Linked DNA regions of Arabidopsis thaliana. The protein of the gene in region 3 interacts with the protein of the main gene of each other region in a pairwise test. Each region holds a gene or a part of one and is shown on either strand. Other genes may lie near its edges.

Evidence for each region.
Region 1: the proteins of AT5G44080 (region 3) and MYB2 interact in a two-hybrid assay, tested with the Arabidopsis thaliana proteins (one large-scale study listed by BioGRID).
Region 2: the proteins of AT5G44080 (region 3) and WRKY43 interact in a two-hybrid assay, tested with the Arabidopsis thaliana proteins (one large-scale study listed by BioGRID).
Region 4: the proteins of AT5G44080 (region 3) and bZIP48 interact in a two-hybrid assay, tested with the Arabidopsis thaliana proteins (one large-scale study listed by BioGRID).

The regions. Positions count from the first base shown.
Region 1 is NC_003071.7:19,370,248-19,378,501, reverse strand, and holds MYB2 (myb domain protein 2), read right to left. Parts: upstream 2,518-8,254; 5' UTR 2,219-2,517; coding exon 2,062-2,218; intron 1,971-2,061; coding exon 1,841-1,970; intron 1,740-1,840; coding exon 1,205-1,739; 3' UTR 959-1,204; downstream 1-958. Other genes in the region: AT2G47200 (uncharacterized protein), read left to right, coding at 352-618; GolS1 (galactinol synthase 1), read left to right, coding at 8,130-8,254.
Region 2 is NC_003071.7:18,952,654-18,960,167, reverse strand, and holds WRKY43 (WRKY DNA-binding protein 43), read right to left. Parts: upstream 2,957-7,514; 5' UTR 2,915-2,956; coding exon 2,766-2,914; intron 2,680-2,765; coding exon 2,499-2,679; 3' UTR 2,243-2,498; downstream 1-2,242. Other genes in the region: AT2G46140 (Late embryogenesis abundant protein), read right to left, coding at 1-55, 755-1,005; KPHMT1 (ketopantoate hydroxymethyltransferase 1), read left to right, coding at 3,757-4,158, 4,526-4,879, 4,977-5,030, 5,128-5,361; AT2G46100 (Nuclear transport factor 2 (NTF2) family protein), read right to left, coding at 5,701-5,788, 5,908-5,959, 6,113-6,179, 6,260-6,414, 6,482-6,842; LCBK2 (Diacylglycerol kinase family protein), read right to left, coding at 7,089-7,218, 7,309-7,409, 7,490-7,514. UniProt on the Arabidopsis thaliana protein: Transcription factor. Interacts specifically with the W box (5'-(T)TGAC[CT]-3'), a frequently occurring elicitor-responsive cis-acting element.
Region 3 is NC_003076.8:17,735,243-17,744,217, forward strand, and holds AT5G44080 (Basic-leucine zipper (bZIP) transcription factor family protein), read right to left. Parts: upstream 4,708-8,975; 5' UTR 4,493-4,707; coding exon 3,545-4,492; 3' UTR 2,632-3,544; downstream 1-2,631. Other genes in the region: CAD1 (phytochelatin synthase 1 (PCS1)), read left to right, coding at 140-296, 376-614, 699-862, 962-1,013, 1,208-1,435, 1,538-1,727, 1,817-2,082, 2,344-2,430; AT5G44090 (Calcium-binding EF-hand family protein), read right to left, coding at 8,022-8,162, 8,370-8,495, 8,597-8,753.
Region 4 is NC_003071.7:1,327,440-1,334,853, reverse strand, and holds bZIP48 (basic leucine-zipper 48), read right to left. Parts: upstream 2,936-7,414; coding exon 2,435-2,935; downstream 1-2,434. Other genes in the region: DTX1 (MATE efflux family protein), read left to right, coding at 1-105, 190-240; AT2G04039 (DUF2996 family protein), read right to left, coding at 397-567, 652-729, 871-1,076, 1,151-1,214, 1,289-1,390; AT2G04137 (phosphogluconate dehydrogenase (decarboxylating), NAD-binding domain protein), read left to right, coding at 2,246-2,329, 2,492-2,671.

The DNA.
Region 1 (8,254 bases), on a different chromosome or scaffold from region 3:
TTTGTTGTCTCTTCCACGTCAAAACCATGAGTAAAGACCATAATACCTTTGATTCGCTACTGATGTAGACTCTATGTTGGCAATCGGTCAAGGGCCATTTAGTATATTCACTATTAAAACTTACCAAAACTAGATATCCCCTCGATGCATGATGGCTTCCTCCTTGTGCTGTCTTGTTCCAACTTTCAACACTCGACAATGGTTGTTAAGACTATTACACACACTGACACAAGCTCACACACAAACGCATGCACACAATATATATACATATGTTTTGTGTGTGTCTTAAATGTTGAAAGTGATTAGATACGAGATAAAGCCAACTAAAGCATCCTACGACGTCAGAGACACATGGCGTCGATAGTGATGCTCCTTAGAGCACTGATGAGTTGCCGTCTTACGCCTAAAGACGAGCCGGAGACATCGGATTCTTCTTCGTCTGCTGCGAAACTTTACAGAAATATCGTCGGAGACGAAAACGTGACAAGGAAGAGAATTTCAGTGGTTGATACATCGCATCTTGGCGATAATCACGAGTTTATTATCGAAACTACGTGTGGAAGCAACGATATGGATGAAGGGTTTTACTGGATCATCGTCAGGAATCACTTGATGTGAATTTTATAAAGCGTTTAAGTATAATTAAGTAATGTAAGTCCTTGGTCCTTGCATGATTTGTTTTTCTTAGGATCAACCATGCAGCATTCTGGACTACTAAATTTCTATCAAGATAAATCATGTGTTGTGACAATTTGAACCAATAATCAGTGGTTAACTGTCAAAAAAATAAATTTAGTCATATTTTCGTTTTGTCGTTTTTTAATTTTTGTTAGTGAATTTTGTCGTAAATAAAACGAACCAAAGAAAATATGAACTGATTCGAGTCAGTCTACGCTCTTTTCGAGTATCAAAATTAAGAACTTTTCCTTGGAATGATTTTTTTTTTTTGTTGGTTTTTAAAACGTTATATCAAATAATTCACATATATCAATATCACAAATCAGTGAATCACAAATATCCTCGTCTGATGATCAAATCTTAATTTAATCAGGGGATTAAAACAAGAGAGGAAAAGAAAAGATAATAATTAAGTCAAGATTCGTATACCAAGGCCGTATCTAAAATTGGCATCACGCACGAATGAATATTACACCAAACGTGACGCAATTGAATTCCTCGTTACGTATAGTAATCGTATATTTCCTTAATTATACGAATACGATGTCGTATCGGGGCAGAACTGGTCCTGCAAGAACCAAAAACTCTCCTCGTCAGTCCACATGTTGTCCCCACCAACACAGCCCCAATCGTTGAACTCTCCGAAACCCGTTTGACCCGACGGATCATAACCTGACCCGTTCACCACCCCACCTCGAACGTCCGAAAACGTCTCAGCCGGAGAATTCGAAGACGTTGCTGACAATTCCGTAGCCGGTACGAATTGCTGATGATGATTCTGGCTGAATTGAACGAAACCCGGCTCGACCGGACTCGGTTCGTTAACTGGTTGACTTGGGTCGGTGATCATTGACTCCACTTGTTCACACGTGGTGGGTAATGATTGGGCGTTGATTCGTTCCACTAATCTCGGCATCCAAACATTTCTCATAGTCTCCTTGAAAAGATTACTGTTAACATCGCATCTTAGGTGTTTGGCTTGCTTTTGGACTCGAGTTCTCCAATAATTCTTTATTTCATTATCTGTTCTTCCCGGTAGATATTGCGCAATCTTCGACCACCTTATATATTCAATTGAAAAAAAAGACATATATTAATAACATACTTAACTAGTAACATATAGAATAGCAAAATATTAACATTTGAGATATATAGTGTGTACCTATTGCCCCAAAGAGAATGGAGTTTGAGGATCATAAATTGTTCTTCGAGAGTGATGTTGCCTCTTCTAACATCTGGACGTAAGTAATTAAGCCATCTTAATCTACAACTCTTACCAGTTCGCTTTAGCCCTGCACATATATGAGTAAAATATATATAAGTTTATCTATATATAAAGCCTTTGTGTATATGTATATTTAGAGATTGATGTTTTGATGATACCAGAGGAACGAGCGATGTGGTTCCAACGAGCATCGCCATGGATAGAGACGAAGTTGACTAGGATTGCATCTTCTTCCTCGGTCCATGGACCTTTCCGTACATCAGAATCTTCTTCATGTGTTGGAGAGTTTGAGTTTATTCGCTCGTAATCTTCCATTTCTTATAAAGAAACTTTAAATGAGGAAAGGAAAAGAGATAGAGAGAAAGAAGATGAGATGGTGTGAATGGTTTTGTGGATTAGATTTGAAGTGATTAAGCAATGTGCGATATTTATATATATATAGTGAAGGAACATAAGAATCAAATAATTTTAAAAGTAGTATTTTATAAAAAGGATATTTGAAAATGAGTAGAATGTTGAAGAGTGACTGGAACACGGCATAAGTGTTATGTTCAATTTTTATTTTTTTATTCTGTTTCTAAAGTGGAATTTTGCAACTATATAGTAAATTATGCTAAACATAATTAGCTCTCCATTTGGTCAATTGTTTGTGTAATTTTAAAATACTAAGGTTTGACCCTTTGACTTGTTCAGATGTATAGTAACACGCACTCTTGCTTTTTCTTTCTTTGGTAAGAGAGTTCTATTTCATAAAGTTTCTATATTTATTACCACACAGTATCGCAGACGTAAGTTATTGTACATCCTTAGTCTTGTTCAAAATTACTCTGGTTAGTGATTACTATGGGCGAAATTAATGATTTATTAATCACTTCTTGTTGTGTGCAATCACGATTTAATATTCGTCGTTTGCTTTGAAATTAGCTAACATTAAGAAACTACTACATGCTACTCGGTAAGCATAATAATACTTAAATACTATTACTAAATGGAAATTAGTTTCCAATACGGATTCGTTTCTAAGTATATGGAGTCTAAAATAATTCTTAATTCCCAATTTTGAATGTAGCTAAATAACATAGGACTATTGACATTTAAGGCAAAGTCAAATGAGAAATGGAGTTAGGCGAGTTTAGGGACTTTGCTTTTGAAATTTTAGCACATTTTGTTTTCGATTGAAGAGTAGTCAAAGAGACGTCTTTCCTCTGTCAATCACTATGACTTCTATGCATATATTTACAGAAATATACTAAACTTTTGTGAGTTTTATCAAACAAAATTTTATCGTACGTTGGGATTAATAATTAAGAAACACTATCAAAGTTATTAAAAACAATAATATACTTTCAATAGTTGCCGGTAGAGAAAGTACTTTTGTTTTTAATGAGAATCCACGATGAAGTAAAGAGAGACCGTAGTATACTTTCAATAATCGTTCCATTACTACTTCGATTATTGATACACATTCTGAAAGTCGAATGCCTATAATATTGATGATAACTTTTATAATATATGTTGTACATTTTGTTAATGCATCATTACTTTTAAGTAACGTTCTACGACATTTTATCAAAATGTGTAACAAGAAAATATTTTAATTGATTCGTATTACAAAACATATAAATTATAATTCGATCAGGGAAATCAAATTTAATTATTACATTATATTGTTTAATTCATCAATGATCATATATTCATATGTAACTAAAGTAAGAATATATAAGCACTATAAACATATATTGGGTTAAAAATTTAACATACTAACAAAAACAGATTAGCAAATACAATCAGATGCCTACATGTCATAGCGATCCACTCCGTCGAAAAAGGGAGGTCGAAAACATATATAAAACTATTAAAGTAAAGGAGTTTAAGTAATGCAAGTAAACACAGGATTTTTGTTACACAACGACACTTAAATAGTAGCCTCCATAGTTCTAGGGGAAAGCAACACTCCCGATTAACTGTATGTACCTGAGAACCGAATCAGATCTCGATGTCTTTATGAGACACTTGTCTGCTTCTTATAACTTTCAACTGTGGACAAATAGACACCCAAGTGATGACGTGTCATTTGATTCGAATATAGGTTAGATTTCGCGTTGTACCAGTATCTTATACTTTTAGTGAAGAAAACAAATGTTATTTGTAACACCCGATTCAGTGAATTGTTACATCGATTAGATATGTGATATAGACGACAACCCAAATAAGCTAGTTTTTTTTTTTTTTTTTTTTTTTTTTAACTGAAAGATTTTCATTATATAATACATGGGTGAAATACAGTTTTGGAATGCGTTTTCGTACAACATAGCCGGCAGAAAATAAAGAAATCCCCGAAAACAAAAGCCCGATACATGGGACCACAAGAAAATATACTAAAATCAAGAAGATAAGCTCATGAGATCAACATGAAAGTCGGAGGAGAGCAAAACTCGCGGAAATAAGAGCTCGAAGATCGCGGACTAGAGAATCTTTAACCACAAACAGAGTAGAGCAAAGGATAGATGAACCCGCGAAGACAAATCCCAACTAAAAACGATTATCCCGAACACAGTAAACAACGACGCGAATCTAAATTCTAACCACCTAGTCATCTAACGAACAAGTCTAAATCTAGAACTTTGCATCCCCACTAGAGGTTAGCCTTATAAGAACAGAAAAGTAACAAACCACGAGAGAAAATACCATTTTCTATTGACATGAAATAAGACCGGTCTTTTGTGTCAATTATATTGATTTATGAGTTGAAGGAATATTTCACTGTTTTTTTCTACTGCTAAATTGCATATTACTCAAGAACAATCTTAAAGCCTGTTTGATAAGACAAGAAATTAAAACTGCTTGGCGAGAATAGGAAATCAAGTTTGATGCCAAAACGTGTACTATCCTATATATACGATCGTCTCACCGGACAAGTAGATCTATAGTTTTAAAAAGGAAAGCACAAAAAGAAAGAGATAAATAATCAACAAAAAGATGAAAAATCAACATAAAAAGACGTTTGCGATCTATCAAAATCAGCAGAACTACCAAAAGTAGAACCCACAATCTCGTCTTTTTAACTTACACGCTCAAAATTCTGTCATATTCATACGCAAAGGCTCTCTTTTTTGTCATCTGGTTATGTCTAATTCCGATTTGATGCGACATAACACATAAAGCCTCCAACAAAAAATCTCTATAAGGTCAATCGCAAAATCTTAGTAAACAGTTTAAATCAAATATTATAGGGCAATAGATAAGACTCTCTAAAAAGGAAGATGGCTAATGAATATTAAATCATCTTGTATTTATATCCCTTATTGACCGATCCGTATTTAGGTCATGAGGTCGTGTTTACATCGCCTTCAGCAAATGAATCTTTTTTCTAGATTCTCTTTATTTTTATGTTTTATTAACACGTTCATTTTTATTCACAACTTTGATCGTAAAATGCATGATAATAGATAACAAACTCGTAATATATCGAGGAGAGTAAGCAGTATCTATAAATATTTAGTTGTGTGCATGGCGTTAAAAGGATGACGTATAGATGATGACGCAGAGGAGATTCCTCTGAAGAGAGTTCGAACTTTAAACTTTAATAAAACAAAGCATGTGGTACAAAACTCGAAAGGCATGATGAGACCATAGGACGTCCATGTTTTAGCATCTATATATCATTTTTCCGTCAACCCACCTATAGAGAAGTATACATAAAATTAAATGTATGGTTTAATAATTTGGAGATCCATTTTCTGGTTGATGTTCAATGTATCAAATAGTCTTTGATAAAGCATCTGATATATTTGATATTCCCTCTAAAGAAACATCACATAATCAAACTTCAAACTCAAAAGAACTCCACATCAATATTTTTGTTTTGATTAATGGTTAGAAAGTAATGACTCAGTCAATTCAGAATCCTGAAACGTATAAACCAATATTGAGTTCGAACTTCCAATTCTTACGTTGTATACATTTTGGTGTATAAAAAATGAAAGGAATGCATTTTCAGCCTTTAAATTTATGCATAGAATATAATAATAAGTTTCTAACTAAAGGTCAAATCATTTAATTGTATTTAACATTTTTGACACAACTATTTTATCTTGCAAGAAATAAATATGTAAACTGGAAAAGTAGTTGAGAAAACAAAATAGTTATTTTTATGCCATGAGAAGGATGTGTGTAAAATAAGTTAGAAAATGCTCTAAGAAAAGAGAAACATAAAAGGATTTTTAAGAAGTCTTACAGTTGACAATATGAAAACTTTAGTAAAAGTCTACCATAAACCGTAAAAAAAATGAAATTTTAATTCTGGAAGTAAATGTAATGCATGTTGCCTAAACTCGGACACTATGTGGTAGATTTTGATTGGTCGGAATATATGATCTCCGAAAAGCAACAATGTCAAAGCTGCGTGAAGAAAAAATAAGCTAGAAAGTAAATTATATACATGTACAATAATGGAAACATATGAATAATATTAAGGAGCCAAAATCAAAAATGACCGGCGATGATTAAGGTAATAAAAGTCAAAGCTCAACACAACCGACGCTTTTGGCAGGAAATTCGAAGACATATGGTAAGAGTCCCACTTTCTCATTATTAATCTCTTTTCTTTGTCAAAATTTGCAACACAAAACACGTTTAGAGTCAATGTCAACATCAGGATTCAGCAGTATGGTATACGGTTTGAAGAGAAGCGAGAGGTAAGTGTCTGTGTAGCAAATGCTTGAATCTGCTTCTTGGCATCTACAAACTACAAAGTATCAAAAACATATGAATAATCATATAATAAAATATTAATTGCACCATGCCATCATTGGCTTGAGACTCAAGCCTTGAGTGTTAGAATCATAAATAGTTTTGTTACCTTTTTGGCATTTGGTGAAATCCAACGGTGTTTGCAAACACTAAGAGTCAAGCAAACTCCAATAACAAAAACATAATGATCCAAGCAGTGCTGTAGAAATAGTTACATAAAAGTTCATACAAAAGTTTCATACTATGGTGACAAATGAAACCTATAGAGACTTAGGCTTTATTGGGCCCAATGTTTGTGAGCTACGAGCCCAAATCAAGTGAAAGATAATGAAACTACAAAAAATGTAATTAAATAAAGCTCTTTGTAGATTTAGCTGGACAAATTTTTTAAAAAATCAATGAAAGTTAAAAAGGACTTGTGGAAAATGTGACGCGAGACATTTCTACCGACATCTGAGAAGAAGTGACTGTATATCCAATAAGGAAAGAGAAAGGAATTGGATCTTCGATGGAGCCCACGAGTGTTCACTACGCACCATGGAATTGGTTCATATGGCCCATTAAGAGATTAATGGGCCCAAATCAGATGGCGCGTGTATCTCACGGTGATTCTTCACCCAGGTAAATTGCTAATGCGGTGTCTATGTTGTCAAATCTGTCGTTCTCAATGAGAAATCTCCATTTTTCACGTGGTTAATTTTCCTGTTTATAATTTTTTTTTTTTTTTTAAAGTAGTATCACAATAATTAATTGGAAATGAAGGGCATGGAATTGAAGTTATCTAACTTCCTTTTAAATTTTCAGAAACTGCAATTTTATTTAGATTCAATAATCTTTTAAAATTAGGTTGTAATTATTAGTGCCTCATCAGTAGTTAGAAAAGTAACAAGAATTGAAATTTTCGACTTTTAAAAGTGTTTCTCTTTAGTGGTTATGGAAAATGAGATCTTTGTAGATAGAGATTACTCCTTCTGATAATTCTTCAATACAGTGTTATCTACACTGTTTCTTTCCCGTATGGTTTCAGTATCTTGTTAAAATACATTAGCAAATGACTTTAATAAATTAGCAAAAATAAGTATGACTTAGAAAAAAAAAGGTGTGTATTAAACTAAAATGCAAGAAAGAGGACTAGGGAAGTGTACAATGCACCTCGTAGCAGGGAATAACATGTTCTGATTTCCCACAAAACACCGTAGCTAGCTAGCTGCTTCTAGCGTTTTCTCCGTATAACCGTTTGGTTTAAATTTCTCCGGTACGGTCCCACTTTCCAGAACTTTCACGGTTTCACCAAACGCCAATCACCACCGTCTGTTCTCCTACTTACACGTGTACGTATCAGATTTCACGATCGTAACCCATCCAAGCGCCTATATTAACCCTGTTTATCCCGCTACCGTAAGTCCTCATCAGCAAACACAAACACACGACTAGATAAACTCTAAATCCTCACAGCAGATCACGTGCTAATCACATGGCTCCGGGGCTTACTCAAACCGCTGATGCTATGTCCACCGTGACGATAACAAAACCGTCACTGCCATCAGTCCAAGACAGCGATCGAGCTTACGTGACGTTTCTTGCTGGAAACGGTGATTA
Region 2 (7,514 bases), on a different chromosome or scaffold from region 3:
CGTGCCGCTCCCAACCAACGAACCCGGGTCCGGTATCGTGCCTGACGCGATCGTCCTACGCATGCCACAAACATTATTAATCAGCACATGATGAATGTACGTTACACCTATACATGGCGTGTGCATAACGTTACATAAAAAGTACTGTTATGAAAATGTTATCTAAGCTTAAATCCTCAAAATACAAAAGCTGAGACCATCTATATAGCTTTGTGCCTTTGTTTCCTTGATAACACGTGTTATTAGTAATGTCATATTATGTATACAGTAGACTTGTGTAAATATATACATTAGGATTGATATAAGATGCTAGATATCATCAATGCACATGGATAATGAAATTAGTATATGTATGTATATATAATGCGGCACAATGCGATAAAAATACAATTAGTGAGAAAATGAGATCTAGCCATTTCGGTGATGAGACCAGACAAATTACCAACGAAATCCATACACATATATATTAAATACTGTTATCAATTAAAAATAGTCAAACATTAGATCGGATATACCTAATTGATACACATTTCTATTCATTAGTACAAAGATCGGATACACTTAACGAAAAATATCACATATATATTTTTCATATTCTCAAAATTTAGATGATCAAAATATGTGTCACAAATTCTATTTATCTTAGGCTAGATCCGGAATACGGATACTATCATGATATGTGTGTAATAAAAAGTGCACAATACGGTGTTAGAGTAGATCAGACGGTACAAGAAGAAAAAAAAGAGAAGATGACCTTGTGGCACTCTTGAGGATGTAAGAGATCTGGCAGATAGGGATGGATTGAGAGTAAGGATTCTTGACGGAGACCTTGGCGTGATAATCTACTCCATCACGTGTCACGCCTTTGAAATCAACGTCGTCCACGGTTGCTTCCGGCGTCGGAATATTCGCCAGCTTCTCCGCAAAGAAACCTTTGGCTTTGTCCAACAAGCTTGAAATCACCGAAGCCTTCTCTTCCACCACCTTTTCATCCGCTGATGCCATTCTTTTTTTTTTTTTTTTGGTGTTGTTTCTTCAAAGGATCAGATCTCTCTTTGTCTCTCTCTCTCTTTTCTAAAGTTTATGGCGCTGTCGGTTCTATATATTTTGGTACCTCTTTTAAGGATGATAAATACCTTAATTGCCGGAGCGTGACATTTTTGATTTTTCTTTGGTTGTTGGAAAAGGAATAATATAATAATTTTTCCATCATTAGAAAAGGAATAAGATCCTTTTTTTAGAGCATCATGGTCATAACGTGCGTTCTTACTTCTTTGCTCGTCCGAAAAAAAGATGAAACATGTTTATTATAGAATATACTACAATTATATTTTGTATATTATGACTTTTAAATTAGCAATATGTTTTAACTTTTAAGCAATATCCTAAAAAATTAATTATTAGTTGTTTTACTATTATGACCAATTATTTTTAATAGATTTTAACATTATCAAAACTTAAACTTTAAAGATATTTAACAACTACATGTTGAGTAGTACTACTTTCTAAACATTAATTTTTGGTAAATAATCCCAAGAAGATGAAAATATAAGAGATTATTTTATCTTCCTAAAATTAGTCAAAACATATATATTTTATAATTTTAAAGATTATTTGAGATTTAGAGGTATACATACTTACCTTCCCATTGATTGCATTTGCTTAAGTTGAAAAGTGGATTTATATATGGAAGAAGAAAAAAAATATGAAAATGTAGTTTTTTTGTTTCTTCTTTTAATTCGGCAATCCATATTTATTAGTACACTTTGTGGCTTCAACTTCGCCAAGACTTGTTCGCTTCTTATTTTCGGTGACTATTTAAGGATGCTGATCAAAACTTGAAAGCAATTCATGTAATATATCGGAACTGACTTCGTACATGTGACATGTCTCATTGACATTGTTCATCGTGTAAATAAACAAAACAATAATCACTCACGATAAGCCAATAGGTTTATTCAAACGAAAGGAAACTGATTTGGCTTGAGAAAAATCTATGGAAACCAAATCCGGTTTTATTCAGTTTACCAGACGATATTGCTCTATGCCTCTCTATAATCATCACGTGGTAATCGTTTTACCGGAATATTACAATTGATTTGTTTTTTTATTTTGGTTATATGCTTAAAACTGATTTATAATCAAAACGAGATTGCAACTATGAACATGCAAACATATATGATTACAATGCTTTAATTTGCTCCGTTATATGAACCATGGAACATTAGACCATCTCCACCAGTAAAAATAAAGAAAGTTTCTCAAAAACATATTAATTAATATTTTAATCAAAACAGATACATTAATTATTATTTAATAGTTGAACTAATAGTGTGATTACACCTGTCCAATCATCCGAGAAATTTAACTCTCCTTCTCTCCTACTTTTTCTCCCTTCTCTCATATTTTTTTTTTAATTTTTTTTCTTTTGTTAGGTATCTCATTGAGATACTTCCATTGGAGATGCTCTTAGAACGTTAATATATATACAAACATAATTAGGTGAACTTAGAGAGGAACTGCAATTGATGAAGAAGAGGAGTTAGGGTTTGCATGAGCTCCTCACAAGGATGGTTATGGATTCCTTCATAAGTTGTCTCCACAATGCTCGTCTCCTTCGACAGCCTCTGAACTTGCTTCTTCACGTTACACATGTGTTGTGTGCATCTATAATAGCTCCTTTTGATGATCATAAGTGAGAAGAAACACACAAAAAAACAATCTTTTTAAAAACAATTTCAGATTATTTATGTTAAAAAGTTTACCTGGGATACAAGCTGTTCTTGACGGATTTCTGACCGTACTTTCTCCATCGATAACCATCATCGAGAATATCTGCATCACTCTTTGTGCGAAACGAAAATCGCGGATTTTTCATCTTCTTATCTCGAGAAGAGTCGACGAGGCCATTCATTAATGAAGAGGAGATATGATGAATCAACGAATTGTGTGTTAGAATTCTTCGTGTGATTTATATTGAAGAGATATATAAAAAGGTTTAGAAGCCAACTACATTCAACTACTTCAGACCAACAACAACAAAAAATTCCTTCACGTCATCTCACACGTGTGTGACTTAAAAAACAGAGACATGGTTTGGTCTTTACTTGAACTCCTGGAAACTGTAAACAGTAGAATCCGGTTTTGGTATCACAATGCGCAATCTCATAAAAAAGAACCGAAGCTACGATCTTAAAGGAGCTCGTGCAGAACCCTCGGATGCTCTCCAACTCCAAGAGAGTTCCAACTAGTAACCGCGATCTCAATCTCTACATTTCTCTATCTAAACCCAGAAACGGAAAAATAAAAAAGGAATCGCCTTTGGAACAGAAGTTCAATAAGATCGAAACAGAGACTGGGTTAGGCTAGAGCCTAGAGAGAAACAGAGACTGGGTTAACATAACCAGACTGAACCAAAATCCGGTTTAATATAGTAAAGATATTTTAAAACTATCTCCGTTGCCGGGACTCGAACCCGGGTCTCTCGGGTGAGAGCCGAGTATCCTGACCAGCTAGACTACAACGGATCTTGTTGATTTCGTTAAAATATTGAATTTATAGTTAAGCTATCACAATTCCTAACAGTGTCATTGCTATGCTTGATTTGTGTGTGAAACCCAGAACTGAATCGCCACTTGCCAGAATCTAAACAGCGTCCTCACTCACTAGGAATTGAATCTTCTTAAAAGTAAAATTCCTTGTTCTTGTAAACACAGACACAGTCACAGATAAGAGGGTTTCTTCATCTTCACAACAATGGCGTCCTCACTCACTAGGAATTGCTCTCGCTTCTCAAAAGCCATCTCTGTCCGTTTCATGAGTAACCTACCGGAAAACACCGTCTACGGAGGACCAAAGCCACAAAACCCAAACCAAAGAGTGACGCTAACGCATCTCAGACAAAAACACCGGAGAGGAGAACCGATCACCGTCGTAACTGCCTACGATTACCCATCCGCCGTTCATTTAGACACAGCTGGTATCGATGTTTGTCTTGTCGGTGACTCAGCTTCCATGGTTGTTCATGGTCACGACACAACACTTCCTATCTCCTTAGACGAGATGCTTGTTCATTGTCGTGCCGTTGCTCGAGGCGCTAAACGACCTCTCCTAGTTGGTGACTTGCCATTTGGTACCTACGAGTCAAGCTCTAGTCAGGTAATGTTATAAAATTGAATCTTTTTTTCTTCTAGATACCTAAATTAAACATATTTGTTGATAAGGCATGTTCTTCTGCTTAATTTTTGTGTAGGTAATTAGATTCTTGATTGCAATTTCAATACCTGAATTAATCACAACACTCAGTGGGACTTACAATGTTCAATTCATTTCCTGATCAAATGTTTAGGTGATTGGATTCTTGATAAAAAAAGTCTTAAATGATACATTATGTGTCAATGTGTCATTGCCTGTGTAATCACAGATTTAGCTTTAGTACTTGCTTATGCAAAGTAGATTCTTTACAAGATTTTGTGTCAATGAAACAAATTAGGGACCTGATTTTGGGTTTAAATGTTGGCTTCAGGCGGTTGATACTGCGGTTAGGGTTTTGAAGGAAGGAGGAATGGATGCGATTAAGCTCGAAGGAGGATCAGCTTCTAGGATCACTGCTGCAAAAGCTATAGTTGAAGCAGGAATTGCGGTTATTGGTCATGTGGGTCTAACCCCTCAGGCGATTAGCGTTCTTGGTGGTTTCAGACCCCAAGGCAGAAACATAGCTAGTGCTGTTAAAGTTGTTGAGACTGCAATGGCTTTACAAGAAGCTGGATGTTTTTCGGTTGTTTTGGAATGCGTTCCACCTCCTGTAGCTGCTGCTGCAACTTCTGCCCTCAAGATACCAACCATTGGCATTGGGGCTGGACCTTTCTGCAGTGGACAGGTTTTATTTGAAAAGTTTCGTTCTTTCCGGTTTTGTGTGTAGCCAAGAGACAAATTTGCATTTCTCATACCTGTTAATTGTTTTCTTGGAAATGCAGGTGCTAGTTTACCATGATCTTCTTGGTATGATGCAACATCCACATCATGCCAAGGTAAAATCCTGACACAATTATTGTTTTCGAAACGCATTCTCTTGTTCGTTCGTTCGTTATCAACATGCTTCTTGTTTCATGCTCTTATATTTCACAGGTTACTCCAAAGTTTTGCAAGCAGTACGCTAATGTCGGAGAAGTGATTAACAAAGCCCTAATGGAATACAAAGAAGAAGTCTCTAAAAAAGTGTTTCCAGGTCCTTCTCACAGTCCTTACAAGATCACAGCAAGTGAGCTCGATGGGTTCTTAACCGAGTTGCAGAAGCTTGGTTTTGACAAGGCTGCTTCTGCAGCAGCTTTAGCAGCTGAGAACATGGAGCCTTCAAAGTGACAATTGTATCCAAAAGCTTGAGATATATTGTCAATTGTACTTAAGACACTAGAGAATTATCATTTTTTTCAAGAGAATGCAAATTCATAGAGTACGGTTAAAACTTGAGACGGTGCAAGGTTGAAGAGGTTCAAGCATGGTTTCTCTGTTGCTTGTCCAACCGAGAAGAATGGACCTTTGTTTTAATGCGACAGTGATAGTATGTTTATATGTGTCATCTTGAATAGATTCATTACAGATCTCTAAGAGCAGAGTATCCCATATTAGTTTCAGAAGCAAGTTTCATATATTTACGGTTAAAAAAATCTAATTTGAAATTGACATCATTCTTCATCTGCGCTAGTTTTGTGTCCCCACTAAACCACGGCTGGGTCTCAGAAGTTGTTTGAACAGAGCAATCTTAGGGACATTCCAATGCTCCACGTGCCTGCAAGCCAACATTCATCAAAATATGTTTAACCAGCTTCTTCTTCTTCACAAAAGATTTCAAAGTTGAAAAGAGATTAGTGGGGTTTATATTAATGAGCTCATAAGTAATCTTTTTACCTGCAAATTTTCCCGGATTCTGTGTCGAAATAATACTCCGTGTAACCAGTTGCTGTAAAAACAGATTTCCATAAAAAGACATAGTAAAAGTTTTGTTCTTTTTGTCTTCATTACTAATCATTGAAGCTATTAAAGTTGCAAACTTTATCCTAAAAAGGCTACAAAAATCTGAAAACTTTTAAGGTTTCCTTGATAAAATAAATACCTGAAAGAATGGGTTTCCATGGAAACGACATGACACAGCTAAATTTCCAATGTCCAATTCCTTTATCCTGCAAAACTCATGATGGAGCTCTGGTGAGAAACAAAAAACGAAACTTTTACTCCGACATCTTTTAGTAGTTGACCGTACCTCAAAATTCTCCCATTTCATGAGCTTCATATTGGATTTCTCGATAAGGCTTCCGAAATTAGTGCAATTCCTTTTGAAACGAGCAAGACCCTTGAAGGATCCAGCCGGATCAGCGAATTCACACTTCTCCTCATAAACCTCCGGCGTCAAATTACCTGAAAACTCAGAGATTTCGATTTAGACAAAAGAAACAGAATTCAGATTGGATGATTTTACACTGACCTGTGACGAAGTAGGATCGTTTAAAGTCTTGTTTAATCGAGTCCACGACAGCTACACGAACGGCTCGACCAGAACAATCAACAGGAACCTCAAAGCCTGTCACAATCGGAGAAGTCTCCGGAGATCGGAAAACAGAAGCAGCTATTCCGAGTAGCTCAGATCCGTACCAAGCGATTTTGAGTAGAACATTATCCGGCTCGGGTCCTTTACTTGTCTGTGGCTCGTCAGTAGGATTCTGTCCTCGGCAACTCACTCCAGTTGCTTCGAATCGGCGATTAGTCCGGAAGATTGAACGACCACCATCGCCGGAGAAGATTGGATTAACGGTGGCGATGGAATGAAAGGAAAGAGAAGCTACCATTTTTAGGATTCAATTTTGTGTGATTGATTGATTTAGGAGATGCGACTTTTTGCTTTAAAATGTTTTAAAGTATCTATTTGTGGTTAACAGAGACCACACAATAAATAGTGATAGTAACGAGTTACACAAGTAACACGAGCATAAATCTGATTCGCTAAACAATGAATCATATTACAGGAAGAATATAAAGTTGAAGTATTCTACACTTTACTTGACAAGTTTATCCTAAGAAATCTGCGGTTTTGATCAGCTGATTATGTCTATGGCACCGGGTAACACCTGAAACTTTCTAGGTAGGAATCCAAGATGTTCTCCATCTGACTGCACATAGATACTTCCACTGTCTGTAATCTCTTCAACTTCGATGCTTTGTACACTACAAGAGAGGTAGCATAAAGGTGGTGACTTTTCTAGTGCTAAGGTCGTTTAAAGGACAAAATGAGAAGAAGCCAAAGAAAAATATTACCTTCTTGAAGTCACATTGTTAACCGAAAGATGAGTCCCGTTGTACAGCTTATGAAGTTTAAGTACGAAATCATACCATTTGAAGTTTTGAAGAACCACAACCTACAGGGAAGAAGTCAAGACTCAAGAGCTACCATATTCCCAACATAGGATTTGAGATTGAAGAAAACGAATAGTTGCACCTCAAGATTTCCATTTCCAGGGATG
Region 3 (8,975 bases):
AGATCTGAATATATCTCCAAGTAATTTCAGTGATAGTGTTTCTGGAAGTAGTACGCTTGGTGGTTATATTTACTGGAGATGTACTTGTTAATGTTAGCTGTGTTGATGTCTAAAAAGTATTTTTGATCATTTGTGGCAGCTAATCTTCAATGAAGCGCTTCAGAAAGGAACTATGGAAGGATTTTTCAGGTTGATTTCGTATTTTCAGACACAATCCGAACCTGCGTATTGTGGTTTGGCTAGTCTCTCAGTGGTGTTGAATGCTCTTTCTATCGATCCTGGACGTAAATGGAAAGGTATGCAAGATTGAAGCAAATTATGTCCACACTAAATAAATGATGGTTTTTTATAAAAAGTTTTCCTCTCTTCCAATAGGGCCTTGGAGGTGGTTTGATGAATCAATGTTGGATTGCTGCGAACCTCTGGAAGTAGTGAAGGAAAAAGGCATTTCATTTGGAAAAGTTGTCTGTTTGGCTCATTGTTCAGGAGCAAAAGTTGAGGCTTTCCGTACAAGTCAGAGCACCATTGATGATTTCCGCAAATTTGTCGTCAAATGCACGAGTTCTGAGAATTGTCATATGATCTCAACATATCACCGAGGTGTATTTAAGCAGGTAAAGCATAACTTTGTACACACTGTTTTGCTAAGGCTCAGTCATATTTTCAAGTTTTAAAACGTCTGGTGGCTATAATTGCAGACTGGGACTGGTCACTTTTCACCTATTGGTGGCTATAATGCTGAGAGAGATATGGCTTTGATTCTTGATGTTGCTCGTTTCAAGTATCCCCCTCACTGGGTTCCTCTTAAACTTCTTTGGGAAGCCATGGACAGTATTGATCAGTCAACAGGGAAACGTAGAGGGTACATAATCTTTTCTTATCTTTCGCTTAGGTTCTTACTGTATCATGGATGTAATATTTCTATATAATATGGTCTGATTTTTTTCTGTGTTGTTCTCAGGTTCATGCTCATATCTAGACCACACAGAGAACCCGGATTGCTCTATACTCTGGTATGTTCGATGCAATATAGGTTCTCTTTAAGTTTGCTAATATCTTTTTCTTCAATTTTGCTATTCTATTAATGCAATTTTCTCACTCACAATCTCTTCCACATGTATTGAATGAACTTGAGATCCTTATGAGCATTTTGGTAAGACAAAACTTGTGGATTGGTGATAATTTTGCTTTTATATATCTATACCAGAGCTGCAAGGATGAAAGCTGGATCGAAATAGCCAAGTATTTGAAGGAAGATGTTCCTCGTCTTGTAAGTTCACAGCATGTAGATTCTGTGGAGAAAATCATATCAGTTGTGTTCAAGTCACTTCCATCAAATTTCAACCAATTCATCAGATGGGTGGCTGAGATCCGAATTACAGAGGACTCAAACCAAAATCTCAGCGCAGAGGAGAAGTCTAGGCTGAAACTAAAGGTATCTTCAGGATAATTTTTCATAGAAACCTAAAGCTGCATGGAAACTGTTCTGTTGGTTTATGTGACACATGATTTTAATCATAACTTTAATCTACCGCAGCAATTGGTGCTGAAGGAAGTGCACGAAACTGAACTGTTCAAACACATCAATAAGTTCTTATCCACAGTGGGTTATGAAGACAGTCTGACTTATGCTGCTGCAAAGGCTTGTTGCCAAGGAGCTGAAATCTTATCCGGAAGCCCATCAAAAGAGTTTTGTTGTCGGGAAACTTGCGTGAAATGCATCAAAGGTATGTCGCCATGTCGATTCTTCAAATTTCTTATCATAGTTAAAAGTTTTGGTGTTAGATCAACTGTTAATTTTTTGTTTCCTATTAAGGTCCTGATGACTCTGAAGGCACGGTGGTGACTGGAGTTGTGGTGCGTGATGGGAATGAACAAAAGGTTGATCTGTTAGTGCCATCGACGCAAACTGAGTGTGAATGTGGTCCTGAAGCAACTTATCCAGCAGGAAACGATGTGTTCACTGCACTTCTATTGGCTTTACCTCCACAGACATGGTCAGGGATCAAAGACCAAGCTCTTATGCATGAAATGAAGCAGCTCATTTCCATGGCTTCCCTCCCAACTTTGCTTCAAGAAGAGGTAACGCTTTTACCAATTCTATTTATCGGTAATCATCAAGAGTCACGGTTCTCTCTCTAGTGGAAAATGGGATCTTTGTACTTGAGATATATAAGTCTTTTGGAAAAGAAACAAATAACTTAATCTAAGTTGAGATTGACAATGACTATTTTCGAGTTCATCCTTAGATATAGCTAAATCAAATGCCGAATCTAAATGAGTACTTGGTGAAATGAATCTGTGAAGCAGATGAGTAACGTGGTGAATTTGGTGTAAATGCAGGTATTGCATCTTCGACGGCAACTTCAGCTGCTAAAACGATGCCAAGAGAACAAGGAAGAGGATGATCTCGCTGCTCCTGCCTATTAGTTCATTGTCCCAAATCCTCTCTCTTCCCCATTTGAATCCCACGTTCTCAACACTTAATTGTTAGAAAGTCTCTTTATTCTCTGTACGATTCAAACTCTATTTGCAATGAGAGATATATGTAACTTGCATTCTATAAATTGTTAATCACAATAAGTTAAGAATCCTAGAATCATATTTCATCACACTCAAATGCAGATTATGAATCCACTATCCACAAATAAGTACCAAAGGCTTACATTCAAAACAACAGTATCCCTTAGTCCCAACTGTGTACACTGTTTTGCTAAGGATCATTCGTATTAGACAGTCAAATTTTGAATCCGGATTCTAACAGATCCTATTGCAGACTGGATCTGGTCACTTTTTCACCGATCAGTGGCTATAAATACTGACAGAGATATGGTTTTGATTCTTAGAAAATCTCTTTATTCTATGTATGATTCAGAGAGATTTTCAAATCTCATTCTCCTACTTAAATGTTCATTGTGGCCATCAATATCTTCACTTGACTTGATTATCTAATCTCTGGTCACAGCGAGATGCAGTGACACAAGTGCATGGAACTGTAACTGTTGGAGCACGTCAGAAAGTTCTTAACTTCAGGAGCTCTTATCTTATCTGGAAGCTCATCGAAAGACTTCTATTGTCGAGATAGTTCTGTTAAATGCATTGATGCCTGGGGTTGAGGAAGCTAAAGTGACAGCAGGGATGGTAGTTAATACCAATAATGAACAAGAGGTTGGCCTATTGGTGCCGTCAACCCAATCTGTCACCAAAGGTTCTGAGTATGGTCCAGAAGCAAAGTACATAGCAGGAAACGATGTCATCACTGCACTTCTGTTCGCTTTACCTCCACAGACATGGATAAGGACCAAAATCCAGATCTTTCAGAACAAAATGAAGAATCTCGTTTCCATTGGTACCCTCTTCACTATGATCAGCCTAAATAAGATCAATCTCAGCAAAACCAATAACATATGCAATCTAATATAATATATAAGTTATTAACCATAATCATTACACTCTACTGCAGATTATGAATCAACTCTCACACACACATACACAAAGTAAGTAACATTAAGACCCTAAAATCCTCAAAAGTCTATACCTCTTATCACCATTCCAAAGACCGAATCCTGCGTAAAAACCGTGGTGGCTGCTGCTTCGGTTTCTCAACAACAGGAATCACAAACTCCATCAACTTCTGGTATCTCTCTTTCCTCTTATCTTCAATCTCCTTAGAAAGCAACTCATTCTCTTCCTCAAGCTTCGCAGCCAAAGCTTCTAACTCAACTTGATAAGCTTGTTTCCTCTCTCTAGACCTAGCTGCAGATTCACGATTCTTAATCATCCTTCTCTGTCTCTGTGCAGCTGCTTTATCCAATGGCTCAACCATCACTCTCGCTCTCTTCCCTCTAGCTCCTCCTCCGTAAACATCTAAACCATTCCCAAACGCAACTATTGATCCTTCTACTTTATCAATCATCTGAAACGGATTATGCGGCGGTGCAGAATGATCGAATCCGTAATTCGTCACCGGAATCTTCACATCCAAATCCTCCGCCGACGCCGTCACCGCTGTTTCGTCTTCCACCGCAGCTTTCGCTAGAAAATCCTCTAACGTCATTATCTCTTCCGACGTCTCTTCCTTCATCCCTTTACCTTCTCCTGATACCATCTCTCTCCAAATCTCATCAACACTCTTCCCACCACGCGTCGTCTCCGTTCCTCCGCCGTGATCCACAACATCAGAAGCCGTCGTTGTTGTTATCTCCATTGGTGCTGGAGAAGCATCCATCAGATTTATCGACGCATCTAAGAGTGAAGATTCCGTTGGTGCTGGTGGATCTGATGCGAAAGTATCGTGTAAAATCCCTTCGACCGTCATCGAATTTGAACTGTATAATCCGTCGTTTCTTCCGCCGTAACCGACACTTGTTAGATCTCGCCGGAACTGTTGTTGAGGTCTTATAGACGAAGAAGAAGTAGAAGCAGAAGAGATGCGACGAGATAGATCCGAGTTTCTCGAATTTGAAGAACGCATCACCTGAAACGACGTCATTTCTGGAGAAGATGATGAACAAGTTCCGTTTGTTTCGTCCTCTTTCGCCGGAATCGGATCAGAGAATCACTCTGTTTCTTTGACTCCGCCAAATGTTGAACTTTACAGAAGCAGAGATTAGGGCTTTTTGTGTCGAATTGAGAACCTTTGAGAACTTTTGGTAATTTATCCCAAATTGTAATTAATTGACTTTTATTACTTTTTTAAAATACCACGCGCATATGTGGCACGTGAGTTTTAATTTTTAGACTTACCAAAGAAAAGAGCTGATTTTGGTAAATTGGATAAGGTTAAAATCAAAATGGATAAGATTTTCTAACTTTTGGAGCGCGTGGGAAGTTTTGTCGCGTGTCATCAAACTGTAGTTGTCAAACTTGCATCAATTATTTCAAGATCATTAATGTATTATAACTTGACTATTATTACTTGAATTTAGTTAAGGTAATTTAATGACGTTATTTTAACTCGATGGTAGTTGTTTTTAGAGAATATTACACTGTAAGATATTTTTTAAAAAACATTTTTATGGTTAGACACTTTTTAAAGATAAAGCATTTTGAATAGATGATTTGACTCATTTATCGTCTAATCACATATCGTTTTATCTCTCTCCTTCTCTTATTTATTCTCTCTTTTTCTTTTACTTTATCGAGAAATAAACAAAAATCAAGCCAAAAAATAGATTTCTTCCTTTTTCCTTCTTCCATCTTCAACAAATCATCCGCTTTTATGAGAAAGAGAGATTGAAATTCAGCTTTTTAAATTTTCCACATCTGCTTTGATCTGACTTGAAGGAGAATTTTTTCAAACCATCAATTTGAGAATCTGCCCGATCTGGCTGATTTAGTTACATGACTCGTTGAATAATTGAATTGGATTTGCGGTTTGGTTTTTGTTTTATGTTTTTGTTATTTGTTGCAAAATTAATCTGATTACTTGCTCTTTAATTCTTTGTCTTTCTTCTCCAATTTCATATTCGAGATTATTCTCTTAAATTGGAGATTAAAGCCTCGCAGTGGACTTCGAATTATTTGATAGCAATTGTCGAATCACTAATTGATGGAACTCGTTGCTTAGTCCATGTTCTGTGAATTTGATTCATGATTATATTTGAGTTGTATATATTCAGAAAATCTGGTTATCTTATGTGTTCATCATAAACGGTTTATAAGTTTTTTGATGGTTGATTCACTTATTGAAGAACCTTGTTGCTAGTTCTGGTTCTGTGAAATTGATGGAGATTTTAGCTTAGATCTGAGACTAATTTTCATTCACAGATGTTAGACTGATTTCTACGTTTGTGTTTAAGATATAGATGTTAAAAATTTGGAGCAAAATCGAGAAGATCATCTTAACAGAGTTAAATGAACAGATCTCTGTGGATAACGATTTCTGGACACGTTATTCTTTACTTTTTTATCTCAAAATCCAATCGAGAAGATCACCTTAACAGAGCTAAATGAACAGACCTCTGTGGACAGCGATTTCTGGACACGTTCTTCTTTACCTTTTTATCTCAAAATCCAATCGAGAAAATCATCTTAACAGAGTTAAATGGACATACCTATGTGGACAACGACTTCTGGACACGTTTTTCCCTTGAATTTGTGATCATTTATGTTATATCTTGAGATGTTCTGTATATAAAATCAAACTTGGACTTGTATTTTAAAACCTTAAAATCCAATCGAGAAGATCATCTTAACAGAGTTAAATGAACAAACCTCTGTGGACAGCGATTTCTGGACACGTACTTCTTTACTCTTTTATCTCAGTTTACTTGAACTTATCTCTAAGTTTTTTGCTATCAAATTCTATGGCTTTTGAAAAGGAATGACCCTGTTCTTTTTGTAATCGATACGTCAGCGATCGGCGACTGATTTTTTTTTAACTTACTTGCGTGTAATGTATGTAGAGACTAACAGGGGCGGACGCAAGTGTATGAGTACTGGGGCACGTGCCCCATGCAAGATTTGATAATTTTGAAGTTTGATGTGCAATTTGTATTGGAGATGAAAGAATTCGTTTGTTGTGCCCCATGTTATAGTGATTTTTTTTCTAATCAGTTGGTTATTACTCATTATTTTTACTATTTTCAAGTAATAAATGTTTTCAGTATTTAACTTATTTTTCCAAATTTATCTTTTTCTATAACTCTTTGAAAGAATTATGCTAATACAAGGACACTTCAATTTTTTCTTTTTCCATTTACATGTCTTTTAAAAAATGTTTATATTGTATTTTATTTTTAAAATTTATATGTTAGCTATGTTGTGCCCCAGGTTAATTATGGTTCTAGATCCGCCACTGGAGACTAACATCATCATTCTCATGAAAAGAGTCGCAACGACTATAAAAGTGATCGCCGTTTAGTCTAGTGATGCCGACGATACCAACATCTCATGTAAAAGTGGTCGCAACGACACCCTTACTATTTATTCTCCGTTTTCTTTAGAGAGGCTTCTCCGTAAAGAAAAATACAGAAGCTACACGATCTTGACAAACTCTCAAATGTTTGATTTTGCAAGGAAAGAAAAAAAGTAATAATGAGAAGAGAGAGAAAGAGAGTGAAAAGAAGAAGCGACGAAGAAGAAGAAAAAAAAAGGAACGTGGAAAGATGAAACTTTTTTTTTTTATTATAATTTCTTAATTTTCAGAGATAAATTGGTCAAAAGTTTAATGAAAAAGTTGGAAAAGTGCTTCATCCGTGACAAGTGCCTCAAAAAGAATAAAATTCTTTAAAAATGTCTAAACGTGTCAAATTCCCTTATTTTTAACCGCCATAGAAAGTGAGTTCATGCTTGTTAAAACAAAATGCACGACTTTTTAACACATCTTCCAAAATATCATATTGACAAACAAAGTTTTAATGATTCTTATACAAACAAATAACCAATGTCGGCTCAAACCAATCAAAAACTGATATATAGTATATAATTTGATTTGATATTCTATAGTTTATACGAGAATTGTAGTTGATATCATAGGCACAAATTTGCTAATGAGGAAAAAGCAAAAACAATGATCATGTAAAACAAGTTTCAAGGTTTGTAAATTTCTTCCCACAAAAAAAAGTGTCTTTGTACATAGTTCTTTCGATTTTAAATAAAACCGTTGTTGTTGGTTCCACAAAACACTATAAAGCGGCGTATATAATAATATACATAAGATTGAAAGAGGGTCCAACCTGAGAAACCTAAGCAAGACAAATATTTCATGAAACTAACACAAGCTTACGCATCGGATAAGTCTCTTGGTCGCCAATCTCTAGGTGGAACCGTGGAATGGACTGGCTTTCGTGGTTGTCTGTCTGAAAATTGTTTCCGAGGCTCTTACCACCCAAGAAGATCTGACTTCTCCCTCTTCTTCCCAAGAAACTAGTAAAAAAAGCAACGAAAACGGCTTTTAATACGTTTAATATACCAAAAGATACAAACTTGTAACATTGAGCACATCAATTTTGCTATTTCATACATGCATAAGGAACATGATGCTGACCAGTGTTGAACAAAGTACCTCTTACGAGTCACTAAAATGGAGATTCGAGTGGTTCATCCCAAACATCTGCACTCCCATTCGAGACTTCCTCCACATCTTCCTCCATTGACAACCTCACATACTCTCTCTGAGCAAATCGGTCCCATTCCGTCAATGTTGGATTCTCACGTTCCTGTCAAATGGAAAACAAAGTTGGTTTAGAAGTAGCAGAGACTGGAACAGATACAACCGGCTGCAGTAGTAGGTGACTATCTGAACTTATAATAATTTTTGCGAATTTTTATGGCATTAATAAATATTCAGTAGTAACAGTTTCAACAGCTAAACGAAGGATTGAATAACCAAAGGGAGGAAAACTCTATAGAAAACCTATGTTTACCTGACGAATGAGAAAAGGGTCACGGGTTTCAAACGCCATGAATTTGTTCAGGTTAAAGAGTATATTGAAAATATTTCCAGAAAGTTTGGATGCTTTCAGATCCTGGAGTGTGATGCAGTTCTCCTTCTGAAAGAGTCATTCGACAAATTGATGATGCGAATAAGAGCAAAGGAACAGACAAGCCAGGAATATCAAAAGACCATGTTATGGTTTAAAAGAAATTTTGCCTCTGGTTTAATCATGTCGAATATTTGACATAGGATATCTTCAAAGAGTACAGGTTCCTGGGTTATACATTCCATGCGATGCAGCTGCTCTTCGTAGAAAAACTGCATCTCGTTGGGAGTGATCACCCCATCTCCATCTAGGTCTATGCACTTGAACCTGCAAAGATGGTTTTAATCAATATCAAGGGAAAACGAAAAACAAAAAACTGCCAAGAACCTGTGTTTAACATCGATGGGAGATAGATGAGCATACCAGCGAGGTATGCCCTCATATCAGCGGTTCAACTGAAAATGTTCTAGATTCATGAGATGATGAATGAAAATGTTCTAGGTTCATGAGATGATGAATGAAAATGTCTTAGATTCAAGATGGGTATCC
Region 4 (7,414 bases), on a different chromosome or scaffold from region 3:
CGTGAGTTGAACGGAAAAGGACTGTGGTGCGGTGTTGTGGTTGGATCTACTGTGCAAGCCACTATACTGGCTATTGTCACAGCTTCCATAAATTGGAAGGAACAGGTAAATAGCCATTTCAGCTTTTTACACTTGTAAATTCTTTTATGTTCATTCATTAATGCTATGAAGTAATCTATGATTTTGCAGGCTGAGAAGGCAAGGAAGAGAATTGTCTCAACTGAAAACAGATTGGCTTAAACAAATGATGTTTCTCATAGTTATCTCAAACTATTTGTATGCCTTATGCAAATTTTTTTTGAAAGATGTTTATAAAAGAGGGTCATTTGTTTTCTTAATCAATTTTATGACAAGGATTTATAAGTTTTCTTCAATTTTGGTATACAAATGTAATAATTACAAGTGAACAAAAACCTCATTGGTTCCAAACGGGGATGATCCCTTGTGCAGCAAGACGCTTCTCGACCCAAAACACAACGTGGTTCGCAGTTGGTTTCCTCTCGTCGACAAGAAATGGTTCCACGGTGCTCGGACCTGACCCGTGTGAGGAAATTGAAAATCCTTTTGCTCCTGTTTTAAGCAACAAACCAAAAGACATAATGTTCCATTGAAATTTTCTGTAACAAGAGTCTCAAGTAAAAGATTCAATACTTCACCTGTAAGGTTTCCAGTAGGGAAAAAGGCCCAAAAGGAATATGGAATACTTTTCTTTAAGAAAAAACCTTCCAACTGACACAAATAATGATAATTGTCTTAGAAGTTTAATCAAGAAGACATTTTGAGAACATCCAATAAAACTGGAGCCATATAGGGTAGAGAGATGGCCCCATAAGCATGGCAACAAAGCATTAGAAGTTAGAAGCAAGAAACCTTATCGTCTTGGAAAGATAAATCTATGTCAGAGATATCATCTTGAGATTCAAGAATGGCTTGTAAAGGAGGAATCACGTCTTCTTCCATCATTTGTCTCAGCGGTTTCGCCACTGCAGCCGCTTTAGCTGCGGGTTTAGGTTTCTTTGCCGGAACCGCCACTGTTGACTCTTCTCCTTCTTCTTTGTTTTTCTTTTCAGTAGCAACTAGGAAGAGAACAAGAAAGTTACTCTTCTCGAATTTTTGAGCCAAACATTCTGTTTTATGCATCAATCTTTACCAGCAGAAGTTGAAGACTCTTGCAAGGCACACCGCAAAAGGTTGTCCTTTCTAGTACCTGATTGCTGCAAGAAGACGAATCATAAAGATTCAATTCAAATGAGATACAAACTCCATGAAAATTGAAGACATTACAAACCAATGTTAGTGGTGGAAGCAAAGAAGAGGAAGAGAGAGTTGGTGTTGTTATAGAGATACGAGAGCTTGGGACTCCAAATGATCCTCCTGCTATTGTTGCCATAATTAGGAAGAAACAGAAACTGTAATTGAGCTTCTTCAACGATTACAAGATTCGTTGTTCTCAAAATTCTCAGTTTTTCTCCATTTTTTGCCTCAAACTCAAGACTAATGTTTTTTAGTGGACCAAAAGCAAAGGAAAAAAGAAGAGGAAATAAAACAAGAGACAAATGTGAAAAAGGCTGAGCCTAAGATTTGCCAACCACACACACAAAAAAGAGATATAGCATATTTTTATACCTACAAATAAAATTAAAAACACTTGCACTTCCCATTATAGTTATGTTTACTATCGTATGTAAACTTTAGTAATAATATGTTTACGTTGATCTTCCCATTGTAGAAGCACAAGAATAGAAGAAAGAAAGAGTTAAGTGTCGTTAGCTTAATTGGTAAAGACTCTAGGCAAAACTAATATTACGGATTTCGGCCCAGAACCAAAAAAAAAAAATATATATATAGAAGAAGGAAAAAAAATTGTCAATAGATTAGAAGCATGGACTAAATTGACATTTCATAAACTATCAGATAAAATGAATAATATTTTGTAAATTCAGATTAGTACTCCGCAAATAAATTTGATTGAGAACTTCTAACGTGCCCGACTGGAGTAAAATAAGATTCCAAATGACACTGGAGTTTTAGCCAAATTTCAATCACGTGGCGAAATCTTGTTCGTTCTTAAACTGCCAGTTAGAGATGCAAAAAGAATCAAAGTTTAGGGAGTAAACTGTAAATACTTCCTTTTCAAGTAAGTATTTGATGATAATGGCTCCCTGATTAGAAATGTCTCATTATTTTAGACCATTATCACTAAGCAGTAAGCACTATAAGTCTATAATCGCAGAAGATAGATAAAATGGAAGTAGGGTTTTCTATGGGTTTGGGAATCATGGGAAAGTCCATGTCAATGAATATATTGAAGAACGGATTCAAAGTCACTGTATAGAACAGAACACTCTCCAAGGTATAAAAACCAAAATTTTCTGCTTTTGATTGTGTTAATAGATTACGTTTTGTCTGATAAAGTTGGACACTTTGAGTAATACTAATTATCTTCAAACTCTCTTGGAAAACTATTGTTGTTGTTCTTGTTAGATTTCAGTTCACAAACAAGCTGTCGGAGATCAGAAGCTTCTTCTTTGAGTTTAGAGTTCTCCTTCAATACACAATTTTGAGTCTCCGATACGCGGTTCAGCTTATCGATAAGACAGTTGTTCTCGTTGCGAAGCCTTATTACCTGAGACCAGAGTTCATCAAGATGTCTCTGTTTCCTCATCCTTGACCTCCTTGCAGATTCTCTGTTCGAAAGCATCCTTCTCTGTTTCCTCTCGTCGAGTACCATGATGCTTTGATGATGATCTTCGTCGGAAGTTGAGTTGTTGCTTATCATGAGATCTTGACTGTTGGATGATGAGGAATAGTTGTTGTTGTTGATGATCAAATCGTTTAGGTAGTTTAAGGAAGAGGTTGGAGATGAAGGCATGTTTATTACGTTGTATTCCGGTGATAGATATTGGAAATATCCGTTGATTTCTGCCGGAATCATGGTTTTAGTTTGGTTTATATGAGTATGTAAGAGTTTCTGTGTTTTTATTTTGTGTGAAGAATTGGGAAGTTAGTTTTGAAGTAAGAGGAGGAAGTGGACCAAGGGTTTTATAATGGGGTTGTAGGAGAATCATGTAGAAGTGGGTCCTATGGATTATAAGAGCATAGAATAAGAAGAAAAAATGCGATGCTATAATTCGTAATTTATAGTGGTGGAACATGGACAAAGAAATGGAAAGAGTTTAGTCATAACAAAAATATTGTTAGTGTTTTATATATAACTTGTTCATTGGAAGTGAGAGCAGAAACTGCGAGAAGGTTTTTAAAATTTTGGTTTTTTTATATAATTTAAACCCAATAATAGTTAACTTGAGTTGTTTATTTTTGTAACCTAGATTTATACACGTAAACCCTTTTTTATTTTAATTTATGGTAAATTATATTAAAAAAAAATATTTATACAATGTTTAATACGCAGTAAAAAAAAATACAATGTTTAATACAAAATTTTCATATCTTTTAGTTTAAATCTATCCTTAGCATTTGTCTTGTCGCAACCAAGTTTGGATGCTTCCCTTCCCTAGAATGAACTTATAGAGAGAGAGAGAGAGTGATGCGGCTAAACTTTAATTAAAAGATTGGATACGTTTGAGCGCCAAGTTCGATCCATTATATGCATTTAACTTAAAAGATTCGACATGTCTATTGTTTAAAATATAACTAACTAAAGTAATTAAGTACTGACTTGTCCCTCATTCGTTTTCCTTTATAAGTGATCATTAAATAAGAACCCACACTCTACATCGTGGAGAAATATGTGTAGAAATTTTAGTTTGTTAATTTATATCATAAATTATAATTATAATATATTTTATTTAATAAGTTTATTTTGTAATTTTATATATTTAATTTATTATATCATATTTCAATGTAATTTTGCAATCGAATTAATAAATTTGACAATAATTCATCCAATGTTAAAATCGTTGATATCTAGAGAGTGAGACATGTTGATACGCAGAGAAATTCATCAATTCATAGAAACTAATCATAGCAAATTTAGAGGATTAACCGAAAACATGATATATTATGTTTAATTATGATATTAATAAAAATATTTGTATTAATGATTAAGAAGTATTTATGAATATTAATTATGGTTAAAAAACGTAATTTGATGTTTGTTGCGTTATCCCATTCTACATAGGATCTCGTTTGTTTCAATATTTTGGAAAATATAATAATGAATTTGAATATATAAAAGATATGATTTTTGTCATAGTATTTTTCGTTGTGAGTTTTGTTGCATTTAGTGTCCAAGTGAGTCTTTTGAATTTTAGAAGTCTTAGTGTCTTTATGTGTATTATGTTATTTTTTATGTCTTTTACACTACAATGGACATTCTTATCACGAGAAAAATGCTATAATATGTCTTTAATAACTTTTTCATGAACGCTATTTTAGGGCATTGTTATTATAGGTACCTCACATACAGTAGCGTGAGTTCAGTATGCTATGTTATAGTTTAATAACATAGCTATAAAGAACAGTTGTATTATCACGTTTAATTTTCTTAAAAAAATTATATAATATTTGATTTTTCGTGCTATGTTATATATCTCTAATATAGCTGTTGCGAAATGTTGTTTTATCGTGGTTTGCCTTTTTTCAATTGGAAAATAATTAGTCAAATTATGTGCTATGTTATGTTCTTATATCAATTTATAAGCTACGATAGATGATTAAAACATAGCATTAGTCATATGTTAAATATTCTATTACCTGTATTCTTATAGCATTTTCTGAGATGTGATTATAGTACACATAACACATAACCTGCTTTATAAAATCTCATACATTGACCATTGATTAAACATAAGTTTAGATCCAAAATACATAAGAAAAGTCTCAAGCACAAAATAAAGCAATACAGGAGCTAAGTGCATATGTTCTCTTTCCTTGTGTGGTAGGATGCAAAGCGTGTCGTAGACCAAGATGTTGCAGATCCTTACGTGCATTAAGACCATCCTTAGATTTTCCACAATGCAACAATGTGGATACAATACTGTGAGCCACGTTCTTTTCTGTATGCATTACATCCAAATTATGCCTTACTAGTAGATCCTACAATATAGACATACATATATTTTAGAAGTAATTGATGTATCATACTTAAACATATAAAAGCTATTTAAATCTGAAAACAAGTAATCATACCTCCCAATAAGGCAAAGTAAAGAAGATTGATCTTTTCTTCCATCTAGATAACTCATCCTCATCTACTTCTACTTCCTCATCTTCCTCGGATTCACTGGATACATCATCACTATCATAGACTGGTTCTTTATAGACAGTTCTCTTTCTCTTCATCCCAGATTTTTTCACATTTCCAAAATCATTCTTGAAGTTTTTCAGATTTTGATAAACTTCATGACCAGTTAAAATTCTTGTCTTTCTCCTATGTTCAACTTTTCCATCAAACCAAGTCTTCTTTTCCCTATATCTGTGTGTTGGAACCAAACCTTTTCTATGACACATATAGACATGCTTCCTGCTAAACTTCAACCACATACTATCTGTATTTTTTCCACACAAAAGAGAGCCCATTTTTCCCTTAACTTTACATCCAGCAAGGTTTCCATACGCAGGAAAATCACTAATAGTCCATAGAAGCATTGCCTTTACAGTAAAAGTACTTTTACTAAAAGCATCATATGTTAGCTCTCCATTTTTCCACAGATAATTCAAATCCTTAATAACAGGTTCTAAGTAGACATCGATATTATTACCTGGTTGTTGTGGACCAGGAATCAATAATGTCAACATTATATTCTCCTTTTTCATACAAAGGTGAGGAGGCAAATTGTAGTTTACCAATAGCACATGCCAGCAACTATAATTACTATTCTTCATGTTAAATGGGTTAAATCCATCTGTAGACAACCCCAGCCTAATGTTCCTTTCTTCAGCTGCAAATGAAGGATACTTATCATTCATCTTATCCCATGTAACTAAATCAACCGGATGACGAAGTTTTCCATCCGTGCTCTTGTTAGTGAAATGCCACCGTAAGTCCTTGGCCATTTCCTCTGATCTAAACAATCTCTTCAGCCTTTGTATAATTGGAAAATATCTCAATACTTTCTGTGGGACACCTTTTTTTACCTCACCAATGTGCTGATTAGTCTTCCACCGTGAAGCATTACATTTGGGACATTTTTCAAGCTTCTTAAACTTCTTTCTAAAGAGGCAACAATCATTAACACATGCGTGGATCTTTTCATATCCCATATGAAAGCTCTTTAAAAAATTCTTGACATCATACAATGATGTGTGAAGGACATTATCATCTGGCAACATGCTTGGCAATGTATGAAGCAGCTCGTTGAAGCTCTTATTCGACTAGCCATTATGTGTCTTAATCCTAAACAAAGTCACAATAGCCGATAACTTGCTGTGGTTTGAACAGTTTGGGTATAGTGGGGTTTCAGCGTCCAATATCTTTGCAAGGAACTCATCTTCTCGTTGGTCTTCACACTCTGCAATCTCACTTAAGTCACCCACCAGATTCTCACCTAAGTCACCTCTACAAGCCAACTCTTCATCAAAAAATTCAGCAGCTTTATATAACTCAAAAACTTCCTCATTCCACTGATTTAGTTTGCTTTGAACTTTATCCACTGACTTCTCATCTCCATGATGATACCAATCACTATGCAACTTGTATGCCTCATCCATCCCTCTTCTAACAAGATGATCAACTACAACACAGTCAGACTATCGTACTACATTACGACAGTCTTTACAAGGACATATTATCATGTCCATTTCTCCTAACACCGCAGCAACATCCCGTACAAATTTCCAAGCACCTCTTTCATAGCCAGTATCAGCTCTTCAATGGATAAGTAAAGAAAAAAATAGAAACTCTAAGTATCCAAACCCCATATGAAACCTAACTATAATTATAATTTCTTACTTGTTTAGATGAACCCATGCCTTGTCCAACATTATATGTTATAATATAAATTTAAACATTTATAGATAAAACAGAGATACAAATTATACAATTTTCCAATCATACTCCACAATAAGCAACAATTCAGACAATTCCATGTAAATATTCAAATCATAAGCAACTTTAAAAGAGTTTTTCATATTAGAAATCAGTCAATAGTGCACCAAATCAGGCACATACAGATGCTCATAAACTAATCTCACGATAACTTAAGATAATTAAGCAAGTATACTAATCTCATCACATAAACAACAACATTAACAAGCTATATACGAATCAGACTCAAAGGACAGAACATTGCAATCAACTAATTTGGTTGAATGATACTAACCTGTTGTGTGAGTACAGAGAAATGAGAAGCTTCAGTTCCCCAACATTGCAATCACCAGCACTTGGAAAAAAAAAACTCATTCATTATAAGTTTACACATGAATCATTACAGATTGAAACATGAATCGTTTA